Regions from separate parts of the Mus musculus genome. Here all the other regions are reported to be linked to region 3. Evidence: microRNA targets listed by miRTarBase, many of them from high-throughput screens and not tested one by one. Region 3 holds a microRNA gene; each other region holds the end of a gene's coding sequence.

Region 1 (4,068 bases), not on the chromosome of region 3:
CTGGTTATTTTAATCTAGAATGAAATATAGTACAGAAATGGAGGACACATGATTTTGAGGCTGGAAAACATAGGCTTTTGGTCCAGATCTTGATGTATAGTGGCCCTGAAAAGCTTAGGCCTAGGCATGGTAGTACATGCCTTTAGTCCCAGGAGACAGAGGCATGAAGGGGTCATGGAGAGCAGCTGAGGCTTGGCACAGTGAGAGGCCAGGAAAGGCCATTGGTGAAGGTGTAGCTTCAGTTGCAGTTGATGGCCCAAGACTGAAGGGGTCATGCAAAGAAGTTGAGGTTTGGCACCATGAAGGGAGCCTATGAGAGGCTATTGGTGAAGCCTAGTTTCAGTGGAAGATCCCAGCATCCTGGAGATGTCAGTACCATGGGAGGATCACCACCAACAGCAGCAGCAGTGGAGTAGAGTCAACCAGAGCTTAGAGTGCTACAGAGGGCAGAGCTGGAGAAGTGACGCAAGTCCTTTGGAAGAGCCCAGAAGATCTTATGTGGATCCCAGACATTTGAACAAGAATCTCTAACATTGAAATTGCCTTGGTGACCCCAAAATGTTCAAGATACCAGAGCTGTGGGAAACCTCCAAAGGAAATCTGCTAACAGGGATTGGAATCAGCCAAAAAGAAAGAATTATGTTGTAGTCAATAAAGATGAAAGGAGTTGGACATCAAACATGGAGATACTGAGTTTGGAGTTTTCCCAGCTGGTTTTCTGTCTTACTTTGGTTTAGTATTTCCTCATCATGATGATTTGGAATTTAAGGTATATTCTATGATGTTGGAGGTATAATTTGATCTGCTTTTTAATTTTGATTTTTTAGGGGATTACAGTTAAGAGATTGCATGAATCTCAGACTTTGAACTTTTAACATTGTTGAGACTGCTATAGACTATGGGACTTTTGAAGCTGGACTGTGTATTTTGCATTATGCTTTGGCTGGGTATGGCTCCCATAGACTTATGTGTTTGAACAATCCATTGGGGGCCAGGGAGTGGAATGTGGTGGTTTGAATATGCTTAGCCCAAGGAATTGCACTATTAGGAGGTATGGCCTTGTTGGAGTAGGTATGGCCTTGTTGGAGGAAGTGTGTCACTGTGGGCGTGGGTTCATTAGATAAGTAATAAGACAAAATTTTAAAAACTGAGGTGTGATGTTAAGTTTCTGATCTCAAGGTGTTTAAGTGAATTAAAAATTCAGTTACAGTAAGGTGTAGTGGAGCAGGCCTTTAGTCCCAGCACTCAGGAGGCAGAGGGAAGTGGATCTCTGTGAGTTCAAGGCTTCATAGTGAGTTCCAGGACAGGCAGGGCTATATATTGAGACAGTGTCTCAATAATAATAATAATAAATTAAGAGAATAAAAATTCAATTACAACATTACAATTTTCCTTGTTATTTCCTTTATTGTAAAGCATAAGGAAAAAACAGGTTTTCTTGTGCACACACATAACCCTATGTGCCTCAGGATTCAGAACTATGTACATTTTTTTAATATGACCACAAGATGAAATTCTTTGGCACATTTTCAAATATATTTCTAATGCAACCTCTAGAGAGCCAGACCCTGATCAGGAACAGAGATGGCTGGCTTGTTAAAGTGCTCTCCAGCTTCTTAGCCAAAAGCAGTGGTTTGTACACACAGTACTGAAAGGTACCCGAGGAGTCGCTACTCACAGTTTAAATATGTCACTTCACTCACTTTGCACATGTAAATAAGCTTTACATGTACTGATGAAGATGGCTTCCAATGACCCTCAACCATGTGCTTCAAATCAAGACAGGAACAATGACAGCACAATGAACCCCGGCACATCTAGTGGATCACAGCGTCGTCTGATTGTCACATACCCGGTGTGACACACTCTGGGACTAAGACTAGCCTGCTCTCACACTCTGCATATGTGGGAAACATACAAAAAATACCCAAACACTCCTGCCTTCCTGTAGGGCAATTACAGGTTGTGAAGGGAGTCACATTTTCTTAACCATTGAATCTGAGGAGTTTCCTATTCATTACCTTTACAACAAAGCCCGTTTCCACCGGATTAACCAACAAAACCATCAACTTCTACATCTTGAGAAATACAACTGAGTGACACTGAAACAAGCATGGTTTTAAAGGTTGCTAGAAATATGCCAAAGAAGAACTAGTTTCCTGACAGTGAGATGGGTAATTTCGTTTCAGTCATGTGACTTTCATCTTTCCCGTAACTGGGAGGCTTCCTGTGCGAGCCTGTCAACCGAGTCATCTCCAGTGTAAACCACGCAGCTGTCTCACCGTGAGCATCCCTCAGGTCCCTGTCTATTTTCTGAAATTTAAGCTCTTGTGTTTGTCCTTGTTTCTCCCCAAATCTCCAAATATTCCAAGATAAAATTTTCATTAAAAAAAATCACAAATTTAAACACAGTATGACACACTTGGGTGACATTCGACTTGAACTACTAACAAGTTACAGGTTGCCAAATAACTTAATGAAATTCATGATGCAAATCCCTGGCATAAGATGAATCCATCTTGTCCTCAAAGGTAATTAAGCAGTCCAGTGATTATAAATTACTTACTAAATAAAGACAAAAATAAGATGTAAAATAGTATTTATAAAAGTCATATTAGAACCTCAGTTACTGTAAACCTTTAACAAGGATAAATGCATAATGTGGAATCACTCTCTGAAAACTGTTAAGGAGGTTTATAATCAACTAGTGGTTTCAAAAGGGACTTCAGGGAACTAGAGAACATTATTTTAATGTATGATATATTAAGTATACATTACATATATACATCTATGTATACGTGTATATATATATGTGTGTGTGTGTGCATGTATGTATATACATACAACAATACTACAATGGGAATTCACTTAAGTTAATCACTGAGCCTGCTACCATTTGGCAAGTATGTTTCTTTTTCAGAGTGGGCTCCCAGTGACTAATGTGTAAATAGCAGACCTCAGCCTTTTCTGCTTTGTGTACTTCTGCTAACGAGGATAAATCAGAAGTGTCCAGTAGTCATTCATATGCCTGAGAAAAAAGCCCTCACTTGTTATTGTAACAGATATACCTTAAAATATGTAACATTGCTATGTTTGAAAACTAAAAATACAGAAATCTTCAAAAAAAAAAAAAGGGGTGCTCAGGAAAAGGGAATTTGAGAACCCTTATTCAGAATAAATTATAGGTCTGCAGTCCCAACATTTCGTGAGAATGCAACTTGTCCGACCTTGGCTCATCTTCTTCTCGACTGTGCTGTGGTCTAACACTTACTGGCACAACGTGAGGTCGAGTCCCCGTTTTGCAGGCTTCAGGTGGCATTTTCTTGAATGTTGGCAAAACTGGTGCTCGACTTGAGACGTTTGGCTGGGGAGAGACACAGGGCTGAGTTTAAATTCCTGCTCTCGAGGGCTTACCCAGTGCTTACATGCAAACCACTATATTGTCTATTGATTGGCTTAACATGGCTTGATCCAATTTTCCTAGACGTAAAACCTAAGGTTTTTTTTTTAATGAAGAGCATAAAATTAAATTAAGTAGAAGCTACTACCCATGACTTTGTTAAGAGCAGTACCTAATAAAACAGGCATCCACGCTTTCTTGAGCACTGCAATGTTAACGTGTACATAAAGAATAACAAGGAAAGTCCAAGCTAGAAATCAAGCTCTAAACATCTCTTAAAAGACAAGAGTGTTTACAAAGCTTCTACCCCAGTCATTGTTAATTACGAAGTCTGAAGAATTCCTCCTAAGAGCTGGACCAAGACACCACCATAGCTAATACAATCAGGGAAAGGAAAGAATACGTACCGAAGGACAGAACATTGCCTCTATTTTCAGACAAAAGCATTTTTTTTTCAAGTAGGGCACGCGGTGTGTGCCTGTGATCCTGGAACTTAGGAGATTAAGAATGGAGGATTGTGAGTTTGAAGCCAGCCTGGCCTACATAGCAAATTCCAGGCTAGCCTGTGCTACACGGCGAGACCCTATCTCAACACATTCATGCTGGGCGCCAGTTCAGTGGTAAAGGGTATTGCTAACACTTATAAAGTTCTAGCTTCAATACCTAAC
Region 2 (4,068 bases), not on the chromosome of region 3:
TTGTATCTCAGAAATGGTTGTTTTAAATTCAAAGATTAAAATGTTTAAATGCTTGCTGTCTTTCAATTAGTGGTTTTAATGTGTTGGCTAAGATTCTAGCTTTATAAAGGTGAGTCATATGCCACAGAATTTACTCTAGAAAGCATAGCTAAGGGGCTGGGGATGTAGCTCAGAAGGTGAAGTACTGGCCTGGCATGTGAAAGCAAAGCCCTGGGTTCCAGCACCAGCGCCACAGAATCCCCACCCGAATGAAGAATGCCTATGATCCCAGTCCCAGGGAGATGGAGTTAGTGGCCAGCTTGAGCCATTTTTGGTAATTAGGTTCACCTGGATAATCCAGAATACCTCCCCATCCCAGAGACCTTAACCTAAACCACATAAGCAAACTGAACCTTGTCATAATAAAGTATGCTTCGACAGTTCCTGAGAACTAGGAACATTAATGTCTTTGACAACTATTTTTCCTACAACCTGTATTTTCTCAGCCAAGGGAATCTAAATTCAATGGGATGTTTCCTTGATAAGGACCAATACACAGCTTCTTTGTGTGCATACCAACCAGGGACAGAACCATGAGCCTTACAAGTACTAAGCACACATTCTACCATTTGTCACATTACTCCCTCTGAACTTGATAAGCATCCAAAAAAAAAAAAAAGAGGGCCTCAATTGAGTTGTAACAGCCCTGGCTATCCTAGAACCCCCTCACACTGTAGACCAGATTGGCTTGAACTCAAGAGATCCATCCACCTGCCTCTCTGCCTTGAGTGCTGTGATTAATGGTGTGCTCCACCACACCCAGCTACTCCCAGACAGGTGCTCCTGGATGTAGGGAAGGACTGAGCAAGGCAGTTTGCTTCAGTCCCTGCTAAGACTTCCTTCATAACCCTTTCCACCCCAAGATGCTTGACCAGCATAGCAACAGAAACCCTAAGGCACCCCGCTCCCGTAAGCCTTTGTATATACTCAAGATTCGAATTCACTCAGAAGGGTGTTTGTTTTTAAGACAGTGTTTCTCTGTGCAGTCCTGGCTATCCTGGAACTCACTCTGTAGACCAGGCTGGCCTCAAGTGCTGGGACTAAAGGCATGAGTCACCACTGCCCAGATCACACTGCCTTTTAAATGGCTTTTGAAACCCCCACCCACTCTTTAGCAACTCCACAAACTTTTGATGTTCTGGACAAAGGACTTAGCCACTAAGATTGTTACCAAGGTTCCCAGTCTTTCACACAGCTAAAACCTGAAGGATCACAAAGTCTGACAAATGCATTTGTCCCAGCCACAATTAAAAGGCATACAGATCCATCCTTGCACTTCCAAAAAGTGATTTATACCTAAAACCTTCAAATTCAGTAACTGTTTTAGAAGTCAAAAACAATTTTATTAGCACCAATCCAATGTGCTCTGTGACAATTGTGCTTGGATGTCTGCTGTCTGGACAGATCTGAAGATGACCCCATTCATATTCTCTTGATCTGTCCCCATGGTACCAAACTCCAGATTCTAATCTGAACATGGCTTCCAGAAACTGGTGTTTGTTTTCTGTGGTAAACTTTTAATCTGATAACCTCCTTTCAATTTCTTACTATAGGGTAGTAAGGCTACACTATATAATTAATGCTCATATTAAGAACAGCATGTTGGAGCCAGGCGTGGTGGCACACATTTAATCCCAGAATTTGGGAGGCGGAGGCAGGCAGATTTATGAATTTGAGGCCAGTCTGGTCTGCAGAGTGATGGCTCAGCAAGTAAGAGCACTGACTGCTCTTCCTAAAGTCCCAAATTCAAATCACAGCAACATCATGGTGGCTCACAACCATCCATGAGATCTGACCCCCTCTTCTGGTGTGGCAGAAGACAGCTACAGTGTACTTATGTATAATAAATAAACCTTAGGGCTGGAGCGAGCGGAGTTGACTGGAGCAAGCGGAGGTCCTAAAAATTCAATTCCCAACAACCACACGAAGGCTCACAACCATCTGTACAGCTACAGTGTACTCACATACATAAATCTTTTAAAAAAATGAAAGAAAAGCATGTTTAAGTGCAGTGAGATAATCTACTATGCAAGCTACTTAATCTAACTGGTGCTTAGACCTCCATCTCATGTGAAGAGATCACTGCTTTGAGACTGTGGCAATGACATCGACTAACATCCAAATCTGGGAAACTAGAGCTGGAAGAACAAGTTCTGGACCTATGGAGGGCTCTTGAGTTTCAATACTGAAAAACATGACTATACTCAATGGTTCTCTGTAACTCCAGACTACAAATCTTAGGCTCCCACCATATAGGGGGGTGAACAGTGCATACAACTCAACTTCACATTTCTCAAAGTTATTTATTCCACCCCAAATGGAGCATGTGGGATTTTCTAATTCTTACTTTTCATACCATGTAAAGATCAAAAGCACCAAAACCCATCAATATTCATGGCTAGTACAGCTTGTAAGAGTGGTTACAGAGAAATTATCCTCTAAGCAAAAGGGTAATGCTTTGGGTATAGGATCAATTATTTTATAAGCAAGCTAAGGCCTACTAAGATATAGGGAATAATTTTTTTTTAAGAGAACAGAGATCAGACTAGATGTAACATGCAATGAAGTAACTAAACTCTGTGTTCACACACATGGAAATGACAAATTTTAACAGACTGTTAACAGAGGAAGTCATGATGTTTGGCCCCCATTGATCTGATCTCCCTCCAACAATGCAGACACAGGACTACATACTAATAGTGCTTGCCTAACATGCCACAGGGCCTGGGTTTTCCAGGATTTCTTGTTCCCCAAAGAACTCTAGCAACTTACTGGAAATTTCAAAAATTATCAAAAGCACCTGTAACTTTACATACTTTGGGATACATGTTAATGGGAAGAACTGGCCAACTTCTCTACACCTAAATACTGAGTCATACATTATAGGTCTCACCTACCATTGCCTAAATGTGTTCAAGGCCTCTATAGCTTTTATTTGGCCTTACTTTTCCTGATGCACCCACAACCCCTGGAAACTAATTTGGAATAGAAAATGCTGGCCTTAGTCTTTTGTTTTCAAAGACAAATATTTTAACTAAAATCAGATGTTTTTCACCAGAGTTACTAACACACCTTAAATAAATCTCTGAGGTTGAGGCAAACCAGCTAGTTCCTGGATATACTGAGACCCTAACATTAAAAGGGGGGAATATAGGCTCAACTCTTATTCTGTAAAAAAGAACATCAATGACACAATCAATTTTCAGTATAATACTTTATTTTCTATTAAATGAAAACCAAGAAAATGTCAAGTTAAGTTAAAAGGCAAACCTTTACCCCTTCAAGAAAAAAAAATACAAACTGTATGTATGATACTTGTATAACAGGTCATATTTTACATTACACAATATAAAACAAAATCACTAGTCTACATTTGTTGCTTGAAACTACACATGAACTACAGATTAAGTGGGAAATGGGTTTACTTTTTTGGTGCAAATAAACATCTTGGAAAAACATACAGCATGCATTTTTCAACTGTATGCACAGGCTCCGACAGAGTCCAGTCTTAATAGCCACCACCACCCCCTCCTCCTCTTCCTTGTCCAAAATAACCACCTCCATAACCCCTTCGCTGGAATCCTCCAGATCCTCTATAGCCCCCACCGGATCCCCGGTAGTCTCCACTGGACCCTCTGTAGTCTCCACCAAAGTTGTTTCTGTAGCCTCCTTGGGAACCTCCTCTATACCCTCCCCCGCCACCACCATAATTCCCACGGTAAGAGTTGGGGCTTATACTATAACCTTCCCCACCACCATAACCCCCTCCCCCACCTCCATATCCTCCACTGCCTCCTCCATAGCCACCACCACCACCTCCTCCATAGCCACCACCTCCAACACCATACCCTCCCCCACCACTTCCAAAGCCCCCACTACCCCCAAATCCGCCACCTCCACCTCCTCTGCCACCACCAAATCCACCACCTCCTCCACCACTGAAGCCTCCTCCACCACCACCAAATCCACCTCCACCACTGCCAAAGCCTCCCCCACCACTACCAAAGCCTCCCCCACCGCTGTTAAAGC
Region 3 (4,068 bases):
AATTTGAATGCTATGTGACTTATTCTTTTAGAGATTATGCAGTAGTGGGACAGTGAACGGTCTCACTCGCCATGTGCAAACATATTACAGATTGAGCAGGGTCGGGAGTTCAAATTCATGCTTAACTTCAGCTGGACATCATCCTGGTATTCATGTGATGCCACCCGTGTATGTGCATGTGTGTTTACGTCCCTGTGTATGCACATGTGTGTATATAAATATACATACCATAAACATACATGTAAATGCAAGCACACAAACATGGAATGGCATTCATTGATACATTTGAATGATGTGTGACATAGAGCTTTAAAGATTATGTAGTATTGGGCTAATGAAACTTTTTACTCACAATGTGAAAAAGCTTCCCATATTCAGAAGGATTAGGAGTTCAAATTTATGAATAACTTCAAAATGGCTTAGAGATCAGCCTGGCTTTATGGGTTCCTTCCCAGTGTATGTTCATGTTGCATAGTTTTGTGTGCTAATGTATGTGTGCATATGAATATACATATAAATACACACAAACACATACACACAGGCACACACACACACACACACACACACACACACACATACACACACACACACACACACACACACACATACCCCGAATGGCACTCATTGATACTTTTAAATGACATGTGACTTAAAGTTTTAGAGATTATGCAGGGCTGGATCAGTGGGTGCTCTCACTCACAAGGTGAAAATGCTTGCCAGAGTCAGGAGGATCAGGAGTGGAAATTCATTCTCAAATTCATGAGTCCAGGATCAGCTTCGGATTCTAGTGATGCCCCCAGTGTATGTGCCTGTGTGTATATGTATGTGTGCATGTGCATGTGTGTATATGAATATACATATACATACACACATACCCATACAAACATGCACACAAACACACAGAAAATTGACACTCATCGATCCATTTCAATGATATGTGAGTCTTAGAGATTCTGTATGACTGGGCCACAGAGAGGTCTCACTCACCAGGTGACGCCCCTTGCCAGAGCCAGGATGATCAGGAGTGCAAATTCATGTTCACTGCATGATGAGGTAGAGATCAACCTGGCATTCATGTGATGACCCCTATGTATGTGCATGTGTGTTTGTGTGTACATGTACATGTATATATATATTGATATACATATAAATACATGCACACATATTCATGCATGCACACGCACACATTAATGGCACTCTTAGATCCATTTGAATAACATGTGACTTAGAGGTGAGAGATTATGCAGTACGGGGACAGTGAGTGTTCTCACTCATCAGGTGTAGACAACTGCCAGAGTCAGGTCTATCAGGAGCTTAAATGCATGCTTACACTCATGAGGACTTAGAGATCAGCCTGTGATTTATGTGATTCCCCCCATGCATGTGAACGTGTGTATAGTTGTGTGTGCATGTGTGTATATGAATATATATAACATCCACACATGTATAAATGCAAGCACAGAAACACACAAACATAGGAATGGTACTCATCGATCCATTTGAATGATATATGACTTAGAGTTTTAGAGATTATGCAGTAGAGGGACAGTGAATGGTCTCAATCACCAGGTGTAAATGATTGACAAAGTCAGGAGGATCAGGAGTTCAAACTCCATTTAGAGATCATCCTGGTATTCATTTGATGCCACCCATGTATGTGCACGTGTGCTTACATGTGTGTGCATGTTCATGAATGTATATGGATATGCATGTGCAGACACACACACACATGCAACACACACACAAACACATGGTGACTTGCATTCATCTACTTGCATAATATGTGACTAAGAGTTTTAAAGATTATGCAGTACTGTGCCCGTGCATGCTCTTACTCAACAGGTCAAAGTGCTTGCCAGAGTCAGGCCTTAAAGGTATGTGACTTAGAGTTTGAGAGATTATGCAGGGCTGGATCAGTGGGTGCTCTCACTCACAAGGTGAAAATGCTTGCCAGAGTCAGGAGGATCAGGAGTGGAAATTCATTCTCAAATTCATGATTAGGTAGGGATCAGCTTCAGATTCATGTGATGGCGCCCCCCCCCCCCAGTGTATGTGCCTGTGTGTATATGTATGTGTGCATGTGCATGTGTGTATATGAGTATACATATACATACACACATACCCATACAAGCATGCACACAAATACACGCAAAATCGCCACTCATGGATCCATTTGAATGATATGTGACTTAGTCTTAGAGGTTCTGTATGACTGGGCCAGTGCGTGATCTCACTCACCGGGTGAATAATCCTTCCAGAGTCAGGAGGATCAGGAATTCGAATTCATGCTTAACTTCATAATGAGTTAGAGATCAGATGCGATTCGTGTGATGCCCACCAAAAATGTGCATGGGTGTATAGTTGTGTGCATATTCATTTCTCTATATGAATATGCATATACACGCAAGCACACACAGGAATGGCACTCATATATCCTTTTGAATGGTATGTGACTTAGAGCTTTAGAGTTTATCCAGTAACGGACCAGAGCTATGTCTCAGTTAGGAGGTGAGTATTCTTGCCAGAGTCAGGAGGATCAGGAGGTCTAATTTATGTTTAACTTCCTGATGAGTTAGAGATCATCCTGGCATTCATGTGATGCCCACCAATAATGTGCATGTGTGTATAGTTGTGTGCATATTCATTTCTCTATATGACTATGCATATACACACATGCATACAAACTCACATACAGGAATGACAGTCATATATCCTTTTGAATGATATGTGACTCAGAGCTTTAGAGCTTATGCAGTACTGGGCCAGAGCTATGCCTCAGTTAGGAGGTGGATACTCTTTCCAGAGTCAGGAGGATACGGAGTTCAAATTCATGTTTAACTTCATGATGAGTTAGAGATCAGCCTGGAATTCATTTGATTGTCCTTGTGTATGTGTATATATGTGTAGGTAAGTGTGCTTGTACATGCATGTATATGAACATACACACACACATACATATACACATAAGAATGGCAGTCATAGATCTGTTTGATTTATATGTGCTTAGAGTTTTATAGAGTGTATAATTATGGGTCAGTGTTACATCTAACTCACCAGGTGAAAACCACTTGCCAGAGTTAGAAGGATCAGGAATTTAAATTCATGCTTAACTTCCTGATAAGTTTGTGATCATCCTGGCATTCATGTGATGCCCACCAAAAATATGCATGGGTGTATAGTTGAGTGCATATTCATTTCTCTATATGAATATGCATATACACACATGCACACACACACACACTCACACACAGGAATGACACTCGTTTATCCTTTTGAATGGTATGTGACTCAGAGCTTTAGAGCTTATGCAGTACTGGGCCAGAGCTATGTCTCAGTTAGGAGGTGAATACTCTTGCCAGCGTCAGGAGGTCCTGGAGTTCAAATTCATGTTTCACTTCATGATGAGTTAGAGATCAGCATGCGATTCATGTGATGCCCTCCCCCATGTATGTGCATGGGTTCATACTTATGTGTGCATGTAAATGTATGTATATGAATGTTCACATACATATACATAAACACACACACTGGCATTCACCTACACGCACATTAGTGGCTCTGATCGATCTATTTGAATGAGATGTGACTCAGAGCTTTAGAGCTTATGCAGAACGGATCCAGGGCTAGTTCTCCCTCCAGGTGAAAATGGCTTCTGTGGAAACCTGACAGCCTGAGTTGGATCTCTGGAACTCAGCACACAGGCAGGCTATGGTGTGATTCTTTTGGTTTTTCGTACACCTGATGATTTTCTTTGAGTTTTCAGATTGCAATATATCTTAATTTAAAATTTATCGTTCATCTGGCTCGGGAGACTGGAATACCTCCCTCATTAATAGCTGTCTTCTCTTTCATTCTCTATGAAAAAGGTCACTTTTAATTGAATGGGGTTAAGAGGTAAAGCTGGGTTGCTCTTAATATTGAAAACATTTCTGGTCGTTAAAAACTAAGAATCCTTTTGCTTATTTAATAATTCTTTAAGAATTTTTTTAAAGTGTTGTTTTTCCCTGTCAACACTTGATATTTATATGATATTAGAGTCTATTTTTGGTGATATCTTTGTCTCCTAAC
Region 4 (4,068 bases), not on the chromosome of region 3:
TAGTCACCAGGTATTACCTCCCAGGGAAGTTTGGTGCAACTTGGGACCCAGAACTTTGTTGAGGATTAATACGTAGGCTCAATTAATTCAATGCCTGCATGGTTGGTCTGTGTCTCAAAGGTTACCAACCAGTCCACACACTTCGCAGCTCCCTGCCCTCAGTCACCTCACTAACATAAGATAATATGTAATCAAAGCCGTACTGTAAGCAACAAAGACAAACCTATCAGGACGTGCCAAGAGTTGAGAGATTCCCCACTAAAAGCTAGGACAGAAGTCAAAGTGGCCTTAGAATGGGCCTCAAGATAGGCAGTTAACATTTTTTTATATGTTTACTCATATAGAATATTGACTTTTTGAAATTTTTCTCTCTTCTAGAAATTACAGAAGATATCCCAATGAAGACTTTGAATATGAAGACTGTATATGTTTCTGTCTTGCCAACAACTGCAGATGGCTAACAGCTATCAGTATGCCTTCAGTCAGTCTTCCTTGAATCTACCCATCTCCTTATACACACACTCACACACTCACACTCTCTATGTCTCTCTCTCTCTCTCTCTCTCTCTGTCTCTCTCTCACACACACATACACACACACACATGGGTTCAGTGAAGTTATCTCCTTGGGCACTTGTCAAATATGCTGCTTTTAACCGGCGATTCTAATGGGATTGACTGACTGGAGACCTCACATCATGTTCACATTTAACCTTAAACACCTATGCAGTCATGTTGGGGGAGTGTCCCAATGTTACCTCAACACCACGAAGCTTATTTCTATACTGGAGTTCTTCAGTATAGAAAGTGGAAGTGGTTTAAATGGCATAGTACATATACATATATATATGGCCTTGTAAAACAGATTTGAGACCTTGTGAAGAAATGGATATGTTATATATTTCTGCTACCTGGATTTTCCTGGGTAATTTGATGGAATATTTTACGTTTGATTAAATCAAAACAGTAAACACTCTCTTAGATACTGTGTTGGAAGTAGTTATTCTCCCATAGTTTAATGAAACTTGAAATCTGTAATCTTTGAAAGACTAAATTTAACCACGTCTACATATTAAGACATCGAATGAACATCGAATATTACCTCTTCCCAAAATTCTGGGTCCTCAAAGAAGCAGCTGCCAAGACAAAATGAGATGGTTGTACACTTTGTTATGGCAGTAGACATAAGTAATGGGTGTCAGCAGGAGCAGGTGTTACAGACTCCACACTCCCACAGTCGGACAGGGAGAAAGGGATCTGGGAAAGCCTGGGGTGCAGAGGAGCGTGGATCACAGCAGAGACAACCATTGCTAGAAAAGGAAGGAAGGAAGGAAGCGGGAACACTGGGCGTCTAGTGCTCAAAGGCTCCACTGTACAGAGCTGGGTCTTCATGCCAGCTCGCTCAGGACTTAGGGCTCATTTATAGCATGGACGTTTTTGTTTAACCTTATTTTAAGGGTGCTCTGGTGGAGTTCTTATAAGTACATGCGTTGCATGTCTAAGAAGTATCTGAAGTCTCCGCCCAGGGGTGTGTTTTGGTATTATAATGAGCCTCTGGACTAGGACAGCGGAGGGATTTAGTTTGCTTCTTGGGGTTTCCAGCCATCTTCTTTGGCAGTAGGTTTCTGATCGTTTTGTAACATTTGTGGGAGGCTTTCTTGCCTTCACTCTCCACTCTGCTTTCCTAACTCACAACTCTGTAACAGTCATTGCAAGCACAAAGTTATCAGGCAAAGATTTTATTTTTTTATTTTATTTTATTTTTTTTAGCATGTCAGTTTGAAGGACAGCCTGGTTTAGTGTCCCTGCCTCTCATAGTCAGTGTCTAGGAACAGCTTGAGGTTTATGGCCTTGGCACAGATGCCTCAGTGTATGTTACGGTGCGGTAGCTGAATGCTAGCAGCCAACTCATCAGATTCTTCAAAATGGATTCTTTGGAAAAGCCATCTGAGTGATGCAGGCCCACAGCCATCAAAACACCACAAACCCACCAATTGGACGAGATGGGAAACAACAACAGCTAAAATAGGGGAGAACTGAAAAACGGATGGGTGGGTGACTGAAGTGGTAGAAAAGTGGTGGAAAAGCTCAATTGTAAAAGCAACAAAGCAACGAAAACCTAAGCAATGTCCAGCTCAGAATCCTCAGCACCAGCCGAGAGACTGGGAGAACTGGTGAGTGGAGAAAGCTGGACGGCTTCATCTTCATGGTTTTAGACACGGGCTCCTTGTACGGCTGTGGCTCGTCTGGAGCTGCCTGCCTTGCAGCTCTCTATCACCAGTTGGCTTTTGGAGGTTCCTCCTCTAGAGAAGGCAAGTTTGGGTGTCTTTACTCACCAATTGTGTTATCTGTCACCTGGAGCCAGGATACATTCCTGGCACCAAAGCGTGACAGTATACGGAACATCGGCAGCCAGGAGCCACCACCTAAATAACGGGCACAACCAACTGCTGTTATGATTTATCTCAGTCTAGGTCAGCTGGTACTGCATGACCCCCAAAACTCCACATGACGATTTTTCTGGGGCTGGAGAAATGGCTCAGCGGTTAAGAAAAAGATCTTTCTGATGTGGTTCCCCACCTGCACACACAATTAAGACTACAAATTGGGTCAAGCCTAGCCATAAATCACATTAAAATTATGTAGTATGGCCAGGTGAGCAAACATTCCTAACTAGTATAATGTGTCAAAGGACACATTTCCCCTTTAAACTGGAAAGAGTAGCTTTGTACCATCCACTACCCCAGAGAACAAAAACATCTACACCAGAGGTTACCTTTAAAATCTCACTCTAGGCCAGCAAGATATAAGACTGATAGATTATCTAACTTTGATCCCTAGGACCAACATGGTAGAAGAGAAACTGACCCCTACAAGTTGCCGATGATTATCATATGTACATTGCTACAAATACACAAGAAGTTTGTGTGTTTAATTAAGGCTTGCTCTGAGAATCCTACAATTTAGGGTCAAAGTTTCAAGTGCCATTGGCACTGAATAGGAAATACCTGTACAGAGAAGCGGACAAGAATATCTTGTGGAGTGTGGAGGCATATTCCTTTAATCCCTGTACTCAGAGACAGACAAGTTTATAAATTCAAGGTCCTTAAGAGGTTGTACTATCTCCCTGGTGAGCACAAAACCAAAGCAACTTGAAACAGACAGGACAGTCTTTGGGCTTTCTGCCTTAACTCTTCCCTACACTAAGTAAATCATGGCTTCCGTCTGTCTAGGCCAAAGAGCCACTACAGCATGCTCTGGTGAAAAGCTACTGAAGGAGAAAACAGAACCTTACAAAGCCTGGACTTGGCACAGGTACAGCTGGACCAAACCTCTCCTAAGCCCAAGGCCTAATGCTGTCTTGACAGATAGGATCTCAACAAGCACCCCAAGGGATGGGACACAAACTTAGTCCATATCATCTCAAAGTAGCTTTATGGTTTCCCAGAGAGAATGTACCTGTACCTTGTCAAAAGAAATAAAAAACAAACAAAAACAAAAAATAAAAAACAAAAAGACTAAAGTTGAGCCTCTGCACTTGCAGGCGACCAGAGTTCAGTTCCGAGCGTTCTCATTGGTTAACTCCAAGGTCATCTCAGCACTTACTGGGCTCCTCGGGTACTCACAGAATACTTGCAAACACACAGATAAATCTTAGAAAGTTTACCAATATTGGGTGCCAACATTTAAAATGTTTTATATGCACTAAATTGTTTGTATGTTATTAAGTGTTCAAAAATTATATGAAATTTTGTATATGTAGAGGTTTTTCAAGGCTCTAGTGGTTTGGTGTCTCTACTTATATTGCTTTTCCTGATATTAGATAACAAATATCAGTCAAAATTCCATTTTTTTTTAAAAAGGTTAATATACTTCTTTATGTGTATGAGTTTTTGTCTGCCTGTCTGGGCACCACATATGTGCCTCGTGCCCACAGATGCCAGAAGAGGGCATTGGACTCTCTAGAACTGGAGTTAAAGACAGCTAGGAGCCACCACGTGGGTGCTGGGAAGCAAACTCAGGTCCTCTGGAACAGCAGCCAGGGTTCTTAACCATTGAACAATCTCTT
Region 5 (4,068 bases), not on the chromosome of region 3:
TAGCACAGTGCCCCAAGGGACCTGGCGTCAGAGGCACGAAGGTGTCCAGAACTTAGCTCTGAAAGCCCTGGGGCCCTTGGATATGGCGGAAGCACCTACTCCCGGGAACTCCAGGAGCAGAAGGAAGTAAGGGGTAAGGGGTGGGACAAGGCCCGCGGGGCTAGAGCCCAATCTCCCGGATGCTGCGCCGCTTCCCTTTTGTCAAAGTGTAACAAGTCAAACAAGGTTTCCCTTCTGCCTCTGGCCCAGGCAGCCTCAAAGGGAACACTGCTGCCGCGGACGCTCCCCACGAACGAATGGCATGTCAATTCTCCCTGCTCCAGGGGCTCAGGAGGAGCCTAAGGCGCCTCGCCAGGGCTGCCCCTTCTCCACTGGCACTACCTCCCGGCCCCGGCCCGTACTCACCGGCCACCTCCAGTCTGGGCTCATCGCCGGGGGCGCCCGCCGGGGCTCCAACCCCGTGTGGGAGGCCGGCGATGAGAGACGGGCCGAGAAGGGGAAACCCGAACTCTCGGAAGCGAAGCTGGCCGCCCCGGCTCCTGCCCCGCACTCTCTGGCCCGGCTCCCCCGGCTTCCCGCGCTGACCCCTGCCACTCCTGGTCCCGCCGGTGCCCCAGCGTCGCAATTCCGCAAGCACCTTCGCGTTTCCCGAGCTTTTGGATCTTCTGGCCTGGGAACCCGGTGCCGCCGGGACAATGGGGGGGCTCCTGGAGGCGGCACAGGAACAGCAGCGGCGAGACCGTGGCGGCAAAGGCTGTGGCAGCGGCGGCAGCAGCAGCGACGGCGACGGCGTCCGCCAGGGTAAACGTGGTCCCGTGGCGCTGTATAGACGCACTTTCGCCACGGTTCCTCGCCGGTCTACTGAGGAGCTTGAGACCAACCTGTCGGTCTGAAAAAGATCTCTGGACACCTTAAAGGGCTCAGCAAGCGCCTCCATGTTCTAAGTGGAGTTTCTGGCGAGCGAAAGCTCAGTTTTGGGGAGTCTGAGTCCTCGGGCCGTTTGTGGCGAATCTGCGACTACGGACAGGCAGCGCGAGGCTGGGCGTGAGGAGCCCGCCCTTCTCCCCTCCCCCTCTGCCGCCGCCTGCTCCCTCCCTCCTGCTGGCGCGACTGCTGCGGTAGGGACCTGGCCTTGGTCTCCGAGGAAGGCGACTGGGAGGAACGGGGCGGGAGCGCCGGGTGGGGCGGAGTTGAGGGCAGGGCCTAGAGCCGGACGAACGCAAGGGAGCCGCAGAGGCCCGCAGATATGGTCAGGGGCGGGGCGACGTGGGAAGACTAGGCCGGCGCGGGAGGGGCTTGTGTTTAGGGGGTGGAGCTGCGGGAAAGCGGTGCCCTGATGCGACGACCGCAGCCGGAAGAGTGGGCCCGAGGGGCCCAAGTAACGAAGGGCGGAGCTTTGGGTAAGCCTGGAAGGTGGAGCTAAACTAGGGATGAAGCTACAGCTGGGAAAGCGCACCACAGTGCTGCAGGGTAAGGGCGGGACTTAGGAACGTAAGGGGCGGGGCTTCCGCTGAAATGTGAGACTGAAGGGTGACGAGGCGTGGCCCTAATGAGGGAACTGAGTTTGGGGAGGTTCCAGTGCATTCCAGTAAAACTGTAGGACTCAGATTGGCAGCGCTGGACTACAAGGTTACCGGTAGCTGATTGGAAGACGGTATCAAAACACACAGCCCATTGAATATGACTGACACCTCAAGTGTGATCGTGGGAAATTCTTCTTTGGGTTCTTCAATTGTAAACCTGGAACTCGAAAATTCTGTCAGTTCCTGGGGGTTTCAGAGAATTTGGATGTCAGGGATCATCATTGTCAAGCAGTGCTTGTAGTTTTGTCACTGAAGAGTATGATAGTCTTCCAAGATGCTAGAGTCACTGAGAACGCGGTTTATTTTCATGCGGACTTGGTATTCAGCTCCCTAAAGTGCACGTTTTCTTATGACACGTTTCCCCCGAGAAATGCCAATAAAACCAGCACTCCAAGTTGTTTCCTGGTCAAAAGGGGGGGTCTGGCGTAAAATCGGTGGTTTCTATAAAGAAATGGCTTATTGCAGCGGAGTTTCTCATTATTAAATGGGGATAATATATAGTCCCTCTGTCCCGGGGTTATGATAAGGATTAAGAGAGTTGAAGACTGTAAATTGCCTAATACAGTGTCTGTTGTATAAGATTCGCATGCACAAAGAAAATACAAGCTATTATACTCATCCAGAAAATTCAGAATAAACCAGTAATCGCAGCACTCAAGAGGATTGAATTAGGATTGCTCCAACTGCTTATGAGTTCCAGGTCAGGCTGAGCCATACAGCAAGACCCTATCTAAACAAAACAACCAAAATAAATGAATCAAAGAAGTTATACAGCTTTTTTTCATTATTGAAGGCTTTGCACACACAAGGACAGGGATATATCACAACAGCCGTTTCTTTTTTATTAAAAAACAAAACAAAACTTTTTTTTTTAATGACAAAGTCCAGATAAGTTGCCTACACTGGCCTTGAACTTGTGATTACAGGCTTGTACCACTAGGACCTCACAGTTGTCTTAAAGCTAGCTCTTTTGGGGTGAAGAACCTTTTAGAAAATCTCATGAAAGCTATGGGTCTGTCCTGAGGAAAAAAGTGTTCAAGTATGTATAACAAGTTTTCTTAAAGATTTATTTATTTATTTTATGTATGTGAGTACACTGTAGCTGTACAGATGAGTACACAGTAGCTGTACACCTGAACCTTCATGTGGTTGTTGGAAATTGAATTTTAGGACCTCTGCTCGCTCTGATCAACCCTGCTTGCTCAGATCTTGCTTGCTCCGGCCCAAAAATTTATTTATTATTATATATAAGTACACTGTAGCTGTCTTCAGACACACAAGAAGAGGGTATCAAATCTCATTAATGGTGGTTGTGAACCACAGTGTGGTTGCTGGGATTTGAACTCAGGACCTTTGGAAGGGCAGTCAGTTCTCTTAGCCACTGAGCCATCTCACCAGCCCACACGTTTTCTTACAATATTTGAAATTTTATATAGAAGTGACTGGATGAGTGCATTAGGATGGATGTTAACCTCACTGAAGTTATCATTACTCCCTCACTCTTGATGTGACCCCAGGCTCTGGGTCCCTCAGTCTCCCTCTCCAACACCCATGAGACAGAGACTGCGTAAGATGAGCTTTATTGTTGTCATGAGGCGGTAGGTGGTGATCATGCCAAGCCTTTCTGAAGTCAGGGGGCAAAAAGCTTGTCAGCCAGCACTGATCAACCTAGATGGCCCTCCTGGTCAGGTTCAGAGCTCCAGGTGCCTTTAACTTCCAGCAGTGGGTAGACAGGTAAGCAGACTGCTAAGCATTGGCTATGTGAAGTCCTCAGGGCTGTTCTGGGGCTGGGGTTGGGTTGGGGCTCGCAGGGGGAGGAGGTCGAGGCTGGATGTCCCTGGTGCGCATATAGGAGAGCAACTGTTCAGGAATCTCAGCTAGTACATCCTTGGCCAGTCGGGCCATGCTCAGCACCTGGTTCCCCGATCGGTCAACATAATCTCGGAATGGGACAAACTGGGACAGACAGGAAAGAAAGGTGAGCTTCGGCCAAGGGAGTAGGTAGCACTCAAGTTTCATCTTTGACCCCTAACATTTCTTTCCAACTATCACTATTCTTCTGAGAGTCTCTTTAGCTTCACTGTACTTGAATGTCATCCTTCTGAATGCATCCAATTCTTTGTGTCGGGTGTTGGACATTGAACGCAGGATCTTGTATATGCAAGACAAGCTGCCTACCACTGAACCACATCACTACTCCTGACACCACACTCTTCCCCCCTCCTTTTCTAGAAGCTTCCCTTCGTGTCAACTCCACTCCTCTGGGTTTTCCTGAACTGCCCCCCTTTCACCCTGTCTCTCTATGAAACCCTGGCTATCATGGAACTCATCATGTAGACCAAGCTGGCCTTCAGGGAGATCCATCTGCCTTCTACTCGAGTGCTGGGAAGGAGAGCGTTGAACTTGGGAGCAAGAGAGGGAGGCGTTGGGATTGAGAGGGAAGAGCAGTTTGCCAGAGAAAGGAGGTTAATAAAGGGAGGGCAGG
Region 6 (4,068 bases), not on the chromosome of region 3:
TCTAAAGAACCTTGTCTCTCTTGAATTTAATCCGCATTAAGTCCCTTCCATAGAGTAGATAATTTGCTGATGTTACTAACTGTAGAAGAGCAGGGCGGGCCCCATATCGTTCACTCTCACATTCCAGCACCAGAGCAACTACTAAGGTCACTAAGATAATTCGGGAATAAGACAGGGATATATGAAACGTGTACCTTTCAAAATCGACGACTAATTAATTTTAGAAATGAAAAAGCCATCCCACGTGTAAAAATAGCTGGGTACAAATCGGCTGTGGTGGCATTCTCCTAGCGTCTCAGCCGGTGGAGGCAGGAGAATATCAAGTATGAGGCTTGCCAAGGCTACACAGTGACTTCTAGGCTAGCCAGTGCTATAAGACATGGGATATCTAAAAGCTTAAGCACTGGCAAGAAAAAAATGTAAACTGTGGGCAATTCTCTTTTGAGTCCCCCTCCCCTGTAGGAAGCTACTTCTCAAGCTTAATAAAACTTGGCTTGCGCCTGGCAGTGGTGGCACACACCTTTAATCCCAGCACTTGGGAGGCAGAGGCAGGCGGATTTCTGAGTTCGAGGCCAGCCTGGTCTACAAAGTGAGTTTCAGGGCAGCCAGCCAGGGCTACACAGAGAAACCCTGTCTCGAAAAACCAAAAAAAAGAAAGAAAAAGAAAGGAAGGAAGGAAGGAAGAAAGAAAGGAAGGAAAAGAAAAGAAAAATCCTGTCTCTGGATTAAAAGAAATGAGTGAGTTACTTGGCTGGAAGAAGTGAGGCAGGTGAGTTGAGTCTAACTAGCACACAAAATCCCCACAAATCAAATGGAAGGCAATACATACCTCTAAATGAGGAAGTTACAGCCGGCCTATTTCTTTTTTTATGTATGGGGTTTTAGCCTGCATCCATATATGCACCACCTGCATGCCTGGTGCCGACGGAGGTCAGACTAGAGTTATGGTGGTCCTGAGCCACCATGTGGGTTCTGGGATGGAAACATCTTTCCACTACAGCCAGTGCTCTTACCTACTGAGCCATCTCTCCAGTCTGTGCATTTCAGTGTAGCAGCCAGGCTTTGAATCTACTGGGACTAGTTTCAGGCAGTTGATAAAATGTGTGCCAGGAACCAAACTCGGTGCCTCTTACAAGAGCAGCCCACACTCAACCACTGAGCCATCTCCATCCTGTGATTATCTTCTCATGTCAGAGATGTTTCATTTCTATAATTGCAATTTTATATGTAAACTAGCATATACTCAATATGCCTTGACAAATCTGTCACCACCTTCAGTTGCTGTCACTGTCGTCCTCTGAATCACTTTTAATATGTCTTTGTTTCTTGAGTCTCCCTATACTGTCTGCCCGTCCTGGAACTCACTGAAGACCATCCTGGTCTTGAATTCAGAGATCCTACTGCCTCTCGTGGGATGAAATACCTGTGCCCTCATTAGCCTCAGCTAATCTTCATTTTCTGATCCTGACTGCTACCTCCAGAGTTCTGGGATAACAGACCTGCACTACCACATATGTTCTATACCTTGCTGGATATTTACCAACTAGGCTACATCTCCAGCTCCTCATTCCTCCTTTAAAAAACAAAATCTCACCAGGCATGGTGGCGCACACCTTTAATCCCAGCACTTGGGAGGCAGAGGCAGGCGGATTTCTGAGTTCAAGGCCAGCCTGGTCTACAGAGTGGGTTCCAGGACAGCCAGGGCTACACAGAGAAACCCTGACTCGAAAATCAAAAAAAAAAAAAAAAAAAATTCCAAGTATGGTGCCCCACACCCTTAATCCCAGAACCTGAGGGGTTAGAGGCAAGCCTGGACATCCAAGGCTATATGAAATAGACTGATTCACTGCTACCTTAAAGAACGGCCAAAGAAAGGGATGTGACCAGGAATACACATCTAGATGATTGGATTTTTAAGTTTTCTGTAGGGTGAATCTTTGTTTTCAAAGGATGCTGAGTCCAATTGCATGCTAATGATAGATAGGGGCATTCTTGCCACCTATACTCTTTGGGTGGTCTTAACCAGACACAGTGGCTCATACCTTTACTAACAGCACAAGGACAGTCGAGGCAGGAGGATCTCAAGGCCAGTTCAGGACCAGCCTGATCTACAATGAGTTCCAGGACAGCCATGGCTATGTATATCCTTACTCAAAGCACAGTAAAACCCAAAAAGAAAAAAAGAAAAGCAAATTTGCCTTTGTGTATGTGGCCCCTGGGCTGCCTCCAGAAGGGCTAAAATACTGTTACTGATGCTGGGTTCACAGAAACTCAGGAAGCATTCTAACCAATTGAGCTACATCCCCAGCCTACTATTTGTACTTAAGAGGCAGCTGCTAGTCACACTACAAATTGTGATGACAGGGAATTTAGTGTTTAAATAGACAGTGGCTCATTTGTTGGGAAATGCAAATACACAGGCTGGCTTTCCTGTCAATTTAACACATTTGAGGACTGAGACTTAATACTTTCTCATCCCCATTTCCTGGCAAAGCTCAGGAAACTTTCTGCCCAGTAGGGAATATTGTTATTCTCAGTAGACGCTGGACAAAGCTCAGCTTACAGGGTGAAATCCTCCTGCCTGAGGCACCCACTAGTAGGTTGTAACTCTAACAGGGAGGTGGAGGTTGAGTTCTCACCTGGTGTTCACGACCTAACCACGCCTGGGGTGGAAGCTCCCTAAACTAAGACCAGGGTTTTCAGTCTCTTGGGTGACAGCAATGCTAGCACTGCCAATCCTGACAAGCTCGATTCTAACTTCTCCTTAATCTGGTTGGTTACTAATTCATATTCTTTTTAAAGGATCGCTTATTGGCAAATTCCCAAACAAGATAATGGGAACTTTCAAAGTGTAGCCAAGTTGAAGCCATTAATTTCTAAAGCATGAGATCTTTTGATACTGTCAACAGGAGGGATTTGGGTTTAACAGTCTCACTGTCCTAGAGCCTGCTATGTAGATCAGACTGGCCTTTAACCTCAAGGGTCTACTTGTTACTTGTTTCAAGTGTTAAAATCAAAAGCATAAACTACCATTCACAACTAATGCTGTCTTTTAAAGGTCAGTCTTTTATTTATGTGTATCAAGTTTGCCCACATGTGAGTCACACATCCCATGGAACAGAACGCTGGGTCCCCTAGAATTGGAGTTACAGATGATTAAGAGGAGTCTTAGGGCATATTCCAATACCAGCCCTGAGGGGATACACATTTAAAGAAAAAAGAAACCAATGTCCAACCTCCCTAATGCAACACACAAATGTCAAAGTATGAATTCATAAACCCTGTGTTGTTTTCAGGAAGGTTTCTTCTTCAGATGTAGACAGACACATTCAACATCCATAAAAATCAAGACAAATAATAAAAAGTTTATTAACAAATATACAAAATTCAGTGTACAACTGTGTCTTTAAAAAATTCACCTTTGTATATAAGCAATTCTATACAATACTTACAGATATATACAAGATTCCCACCTGTATGCAATTCTCTGGGTCATCTGTGTCCTCCTATCTTCAAGAGAAACCTCAACCATGAACGTCCCCATTAAGTCTCTTTCTGTAATGGATTTTAATCACATTTACTGCTGTGATCACTCAGGCAGACGATCTAATGCTGGACACAAACCCCTCAGTAAAGTGCAGTTTTGGCAACCCCAGCCCTTAGTTTTCCTTTAGACAGGTATCCACAGTCCGTAAGGACTTTTTTTCTTATCTATTTTTGGTGATCCTGAAGACTTCTCTTCAACAGCAGCTTTAGTTGTTTTCTGCAGTGGCTTTGCTACGGAATTCTGTAAGACAGTAAGTTGAAATCAACTTCAGAGGTTATCAACACACACACAAAGCCTACATAATAAAATACCGGACACCCAATTTTCAAGAATAATGTTTGGGTTCACTTACATTGGAGCTGAAGGCTATGTTTCTTTGTGTAGAAGACTTTTCACTGGTATTTTTAGTTGCATCTTCAGTCTGCTTTTCTGAATGCTAAAGAGGAAGAGAATTTTAAACATAGCCTTAACTTTTAAAATATTGTATTTAAAAAAAAAAAGCCCAACGTACACAAATGTAG
Region 7 (4,068 bases), not on the chromosome of region 3:
AGCAAAGCCACAAAGCCACGATGATAATCATGGCTGATATCTAACCTGGGACACAGGGACAAAGACTGGTAAACAGAGGGCTCATTCCACAGCAAGCTTCCTGTGTGACCTCGGGCCTCCTCCCTGCAGCAACAGGGCCACACCTGTGCAGCCAGTTGGCCTACATCTCACTTCAAACCCACAGCAAGCCCTCAAATAAAGCAGACAAAGGCTATTGTTCCAGTGAGGAGAGACTGAGAGGTGGCCTTGGGGACTTTCAGGACTTTCACTGCATCAGATGGGAATCAGCTACCCTCCAGGGGGATGCCAGTTGCGCTTTGAAGCTGAAGTGGCCATGGGGTCCAGCCAAGCATCTCAATTCTTATGTTTCTAGGAGACAAATTCTTCTCTTGGCTGGGGTACTGGGCAAGTCCAGTCGTCCTCAATTGATGAGCTTTTACAAAGCATGCTCTTCTTGCCCAGATTGGCATTAACATGTGCCCTTTGGTCTACTGGAAAGTCCCAATGTGGGCTGTTTGGTGGCCCAAGTCCCAATCTGTCAGCACAAGAAAACCCAATCTCACTGGATGGTGCCTGGAAACCTCCGCCTCCAGTTTCACTCCCAAGTGCTGCCTGGCCAGGAAAACTCCAGAACAAAAAAGAGCCCTACAGAGAAGTACTGGGTTATGTCATGTGATGGGGGTGGGGCACGACAAGAAAAGAAGAGGCCAAAGAAATACGTGAGCCTGTGTATCTCACCCAGTATGGCAGCATAAGACTGTGGAGTAGGGACAAATGACACCAAATTCCAGCCCCTTACAGTGTCATTTCCAGGGTTTGAATCCACCTAGGAAGGACACTGTATTCAAACTCACATCAAGGCACTGTGTGGACTAGCTGTAGCCAGAACCGTCAATGCGGTCTTCTAGATTTCCCCTGGCCAGAAGGTTTCTAGAGACAGGGATTCTAGGGTGAGATCCATCTTAGTAGTATACAGCATAAAAGAACAAAGCTATCATCAAAGGATGGTTTGGCTAGACTCTAACTTGATCATTGCCCTTATGCAGGCGTAGCTCAAAACACAAAGAGGCAGCCAGGGCTCTGATGCTCCCCTGCAGGTAGATCTGTGGGATAAACGGAAAGAATGTGGATGCTGACGTGTAGGAAGCCTGAGAAACCAGATTGGGAGACCTTTTGCTCGTATCAGTTAAGGATGGGGGACAGGAGAGGTTAGTCCAAATGCTAAAGGGTCTGGTATCAGCTCCAGAGGTTTTAATGGAAGCCAGTTGGAGGGCACATGCTTGCCTTACACTGTTCAAGGTTTTAATCAATTCTATAGGTGCAAAAGTATCCAGCTAGCTCTGGCAGGGGCTAGATGTCAGGGGAGCTTGCAGTTATGATCTGAGCTGGCCAGGCAATGTGGCTGCCCCAAGACGGCTGTCCTAACCTGGGAAGAGGTTCCTTGAGTTGACTGCTTATGAAATGTAGGAGGTTCAGAGCAGTGGGCCTGGACCATCTCACCAGAAGAAATAACAACAAACACTGGGCATGATGGACTAAGAATGGCTGGGATCTAATCTGTACAATAAAGCATGGCGCCAGCAGTGGCAGGGGCATGCCTGCAATCCCAGCACTTGAAACAATAGGATCAGGAATTCAAAGTCATTCGCGGCTATGTAGTGAATTCATGGCTAGCCTACACCTCATGATACGCTGTCTCAAAACCAAACACAAGCTGTGGCCTCCCTTCTCCGGCAAGTGTGGAACTAAGAGAGAGGAACAGAAACGGAGATGAGATCCTCTTGCCCTAACAAGCAATTATGTTTGATAAACCCAAGGTTGTTCCCACACTTCTCATGCAAGTCTCCACACACAGAAGCTCTGGGATAGAGAAGTCCACAAAAGCTCTGGCCACAACCTGATATCAGATAAGCTGACTAGGTCCAAGAGCAGCCCTGCCTCGGCAGGAAGGTACACTCAGTGATCTGCTCTGTCCTGGGTCCTCACCATGAACCTCTTCTGAAGGCAGACGGAGCAGTTAGCAGCCCCAGCTCCAACTGGAAGATCAGAAGCTCTTGAGAGCCACAAACTTACAGAAACTTGAACAAGAAACTCTCGGAATCATCTGGTCGACCTCCTGGCTTTTCCAACAAGAAACTGAGGCCCAAAGAGGGGAAGGAACTGGCCCAAGGTCACACAACAAGCTAGCATCGAAGACCAAACAAGGATATCTTTGAGCATTTTCTGTTTTACCACTTGTATGCCCTGTTACCCTGAGATTCACCCTGGTCAAGTCATACTAACACCACCTGGTGGAAACCGGGTACCCATGACTCTGGGTACTAATAAAACCAACTCCTTTAGGAGAGGAGCTGCCTTCGTCCTGGGAGTACATCTGGATGGATGGATGCCACCTTCTGGGAACGGGATCCCTTAGCAGTGGAAATAATGGCCTCAGGCACCTCTGTCTCTTTCTCTCTCCTACCTTACAGGGCCAGTCACTGGAGAAGAACTAGAGGAAGCTGGGAGATACAGGTGGCTCCAGCTGCCTATGTCCCTCCATCCTTGTTTCCCTAAGGACTATCCACTACAAAAGAGGATGGATGCCTCCCTACCCGGCCCTATCACTTAAACTCCCCTCAGACAACATCCTCAGTAGCTTTGGCTCACTGCTAGGGGCTGGTGTTTGTTAAACACCCACTTCCCCTCTCTGTGCCAGCACACAAAAATGCAATGAAGCTATGATATCTCAGTCTATCAGTTCTGACATATGTGGCCTGCTTCAATCTAGGTGTCATCTGGTTAGAAAGTCAGTCCACTGCTCTTCATTCCTGGGGTCTATGTGCCTCCCCCATGAGACATAGGGGCATGGACCAAGGATGAGGATGGAGGGGGAGGAGTCTCTAGTGGCCCTGGACCACACACACACACAAAAAAGCATTGAGAATCTATTCACAGTCCTGCCCTCTCCCACCTTCAATCTGGTCATCATTTAGCTGCCAAAACTGTCACCTACTGGGACTACAGACATCTTCTTGTGTGTCTTGAGCCATCTTGCCCACCCCCTCCACATCTTCACACCCATCATCATTGTGCCTTCAGGCCCCACCCTCCCCTTTCTGCTCCCCATCTCAAGCCAAATCCCAAGGCCAGGCAGTGTGGCCTTCCTGGGAATGAGCATGAGAAGGAGGTGGGCAGGTGATTGCAGAGAGATGGCTGAGGACGTGGTCCTGCTGGCGTGGTGATGCGAGAGGCCCATCACCGAGACTTGGAAGACCACTGGGGCCCCTTGGTAGAAACTGGAAGAACAAAAGGAAGAACCAGAATGGGAAGGAGACGAGAAAGCATCCGAGTGCGAGAGTGAACCTGGAGCTGCCGGGCTGAGGCCGGCCCTAGTCTATCTGTTGTTGAGGTGCGGAGAGCCGGTGCCGTCATCCTCTTCGTCCTTGTCATCCTTCATGCCTTTCAGCCGCTGGCGAGCAAAGTCCTCAAATACAATGTCGTCATCACTAGTGGGAGAGACAAGGAAAATGCCGTGTGTTTGCAGAGGTAGACGACAGGCAGATCCAGAGGCCTGGCCAAACGATGGGAGGACTCAAGAGAGAACCCCTGATCTCCAGGGTCTCTGGGATGACCTCAGGCAGAAAGGCGTGCCTGGCTGGCCCATTTACAAGCCCACTGATGGCTGTGGGGGTTCTCACAAATAAACTGCAAAAAGCTTGCCTCTCAGTGCATAAGGGCTAGAAAAGCAACCCTGTTCCTGGGGAGATGGAGAAGGTAAGTAGGGGGAGCAATGTGGCTCTGCGTCGGAATCCCCAAAGAACAAGCCCAAGAAACCCTATTTCACCCCTCCAAATCAAACTACCAAGACTGCTTTAGGGAGGGTAACTGTTTCAACCAGGAAGTTGGTGTTGGGTTCTAAGGAAGGAGAACAGGTCTTTCTCCTAGAAGATCTAACCCACATCCCCGGAGTCCTAGGTTGGAGAGGGACTTTGGAACGGGGCTTGGAAGATGGTGAGGATATGAGGACAGAGTGATGGGGAAAGGTGCCTGGTTTAAGGTTGCAGGACTAAGGACTGTTTCTTTCTT

The links. The annotated mature microRNA mmu-miR-297a-5p reads AUGUAUGUGUGCAUGUGCAUGU and lies in region 3 at 2,067-2,088, shown strand. An mRNA with a match to its seed (bases 2 to 7 or 8) in the 3' UTR can be bound and repressed. Matches are read on the target gene's strand: a 7mer-m8 pairs with bases 2 to 8, a 7mer-A1 pairs with bases 2 to 7 and ends in A, and an 8mer does both.
Region 1: miRTarBase lists Ostm1 as a target of mmu-miR-297a-5p. Seed matches in the 3' UTR shown: 7mer-m8 at 2,828-2,834.
Region 2: miRTarBase lists Dhx9 as a target of mmu-miR-297a-5p. Seed matches in the 3' UTR shown: 7mer-m8 at 3,341-3,347.
Region 4: miRTarBase lists Iars as a target of mmu-miR-297a-5p. Seed matches in the 3' UTR shown: 7mer-m8 at 587-593.
Region 5: miRTarBase lists Cpne9 as a target of mmu-miR-297a-5p. Seed matches in the 3' UTR shown: 7mer-m8 at 2,666-2,672.
Region 6: miRTarBase lists Rsrp1 as a target of mmu-miR-297a-5p. The part of its 3' UTR that is shown has no 7-base or 8-base seed match.
Region 7: the mRNA of Arrb1 is a reported target of mmu-miR-297a-5p. Seed matches in the 3' UTR shown: 7mer-A1 at 2,236-2,242.

The regions. Positions count from the first base shown.
Region 1 is chr10:42,699,779-42,703,846 of GRCm38, reverse strand. Ostm1 (osteopetrosis associated transmembrane protein 1) reads right to left here. Exons shown (of 6, transcript NM_172416.3): 6 at 1,385-3,364. The coding sequence ends at 3,309. Among named protein-coding and RNA genes, the nearest start is that of Ostm1, 23 kb to the right of the region's middle.
Region 2 is chr1:153,452,522-153,456,589 of GRCm38, forward strand. Dhx9 (DEAH (Asp-Glu-Ala-His) box polypeptide 9) reads right to left here. Exons shown (of 28, transcript NM_007842.2): 28 at 3,237-4,068. The coding sequence ends at 3,548. It overlaps Shcbp1l (Shc SH2-domain binding protein 1-like), which reads left to right. Exons shown (of 10, transcript NM_001033162.2): 10 at 1-53. Among named protein-coding and RNA genes, the nearest start is that of n-TIaat13, 4.1 kb to the right of the region's middle.
Region 3 is chr2:10,515,011-10,519,078 of GRCm38, forward strand. It overlaps Mir297a-4 (microRNA 297a-4), which reads left to right and starts at 2,057; the gene lies at 2,057-2,154. All of the region lies in intron 10 of Sfmbt2 (Scm-like with four mbt domains 2), which reads left to right. Mir297a-3 (microRNA 297a-3) reads left to right here and starts at 810; the gene lies at 810-911. It overlaps Mir466l (microRNA 466l), which reads left to right and starts at 1,087; the gene lies at 1,087-1,207. It also overlaps Mir669i and Mir669h.
Region 4 is chr13:49,733,281-49,737,348 of GRCm38, forward strand. It overlaps Iars (isoleucine-tRNA synthetase), which reads left to right. Exons shown (of 34, transcript NM_172015.3): 34 at 379-987. The coding sequence ends at 461. Among named protein-coding and RNA genes, the nearest start is that of Gm23482, 21 kb to the left of the region's middle.
Region 5 is chr6:113,303,907-113,307,974 of GRCm38, reverse strand. It overlaps Cpne9 (copine family member IX), which reads right to left. Exons shown (of 21, transcript NM_170673.3): 21 at 2,404-3,539. The coding sequence ends at 3,354. It overlaps Brpf1 (bromodomain and PHD finger containing, 1), which reads right to left and starts at 838. Exons shown (of 13, transcript NM_030178.2): 1 at 638-838.
Region 6 is chr4:134,926,650-134,930,717 of GRCm38, reverse strand. It overlaps Rsrp1 (arginine/serine rich protein 1), which reads right to left. Exons shown (of 5, transcript NM_023665.3): 4 at 3,900-3,983; 5 at 3,348-3,787. The coding sequence ends at 3,671. Among named protein-coding and RNA genes, the nearest start is that of Syf2, 2.3 kb to the left of the region's middle.
Region 7 is chr7:99,600,518-99,604,585 of GRCm38, reverse strand. Arrb1 (arrestin, beta 1) reads right to left here. Exons shown (of 16, transcript NM_177231.2): 16 at 1-3,488. The coding sequence ends at 3,377. Among named protein-coding and RNA genes, the nearest start is that of Tpbgl, 25 kb to the left of the region's middle.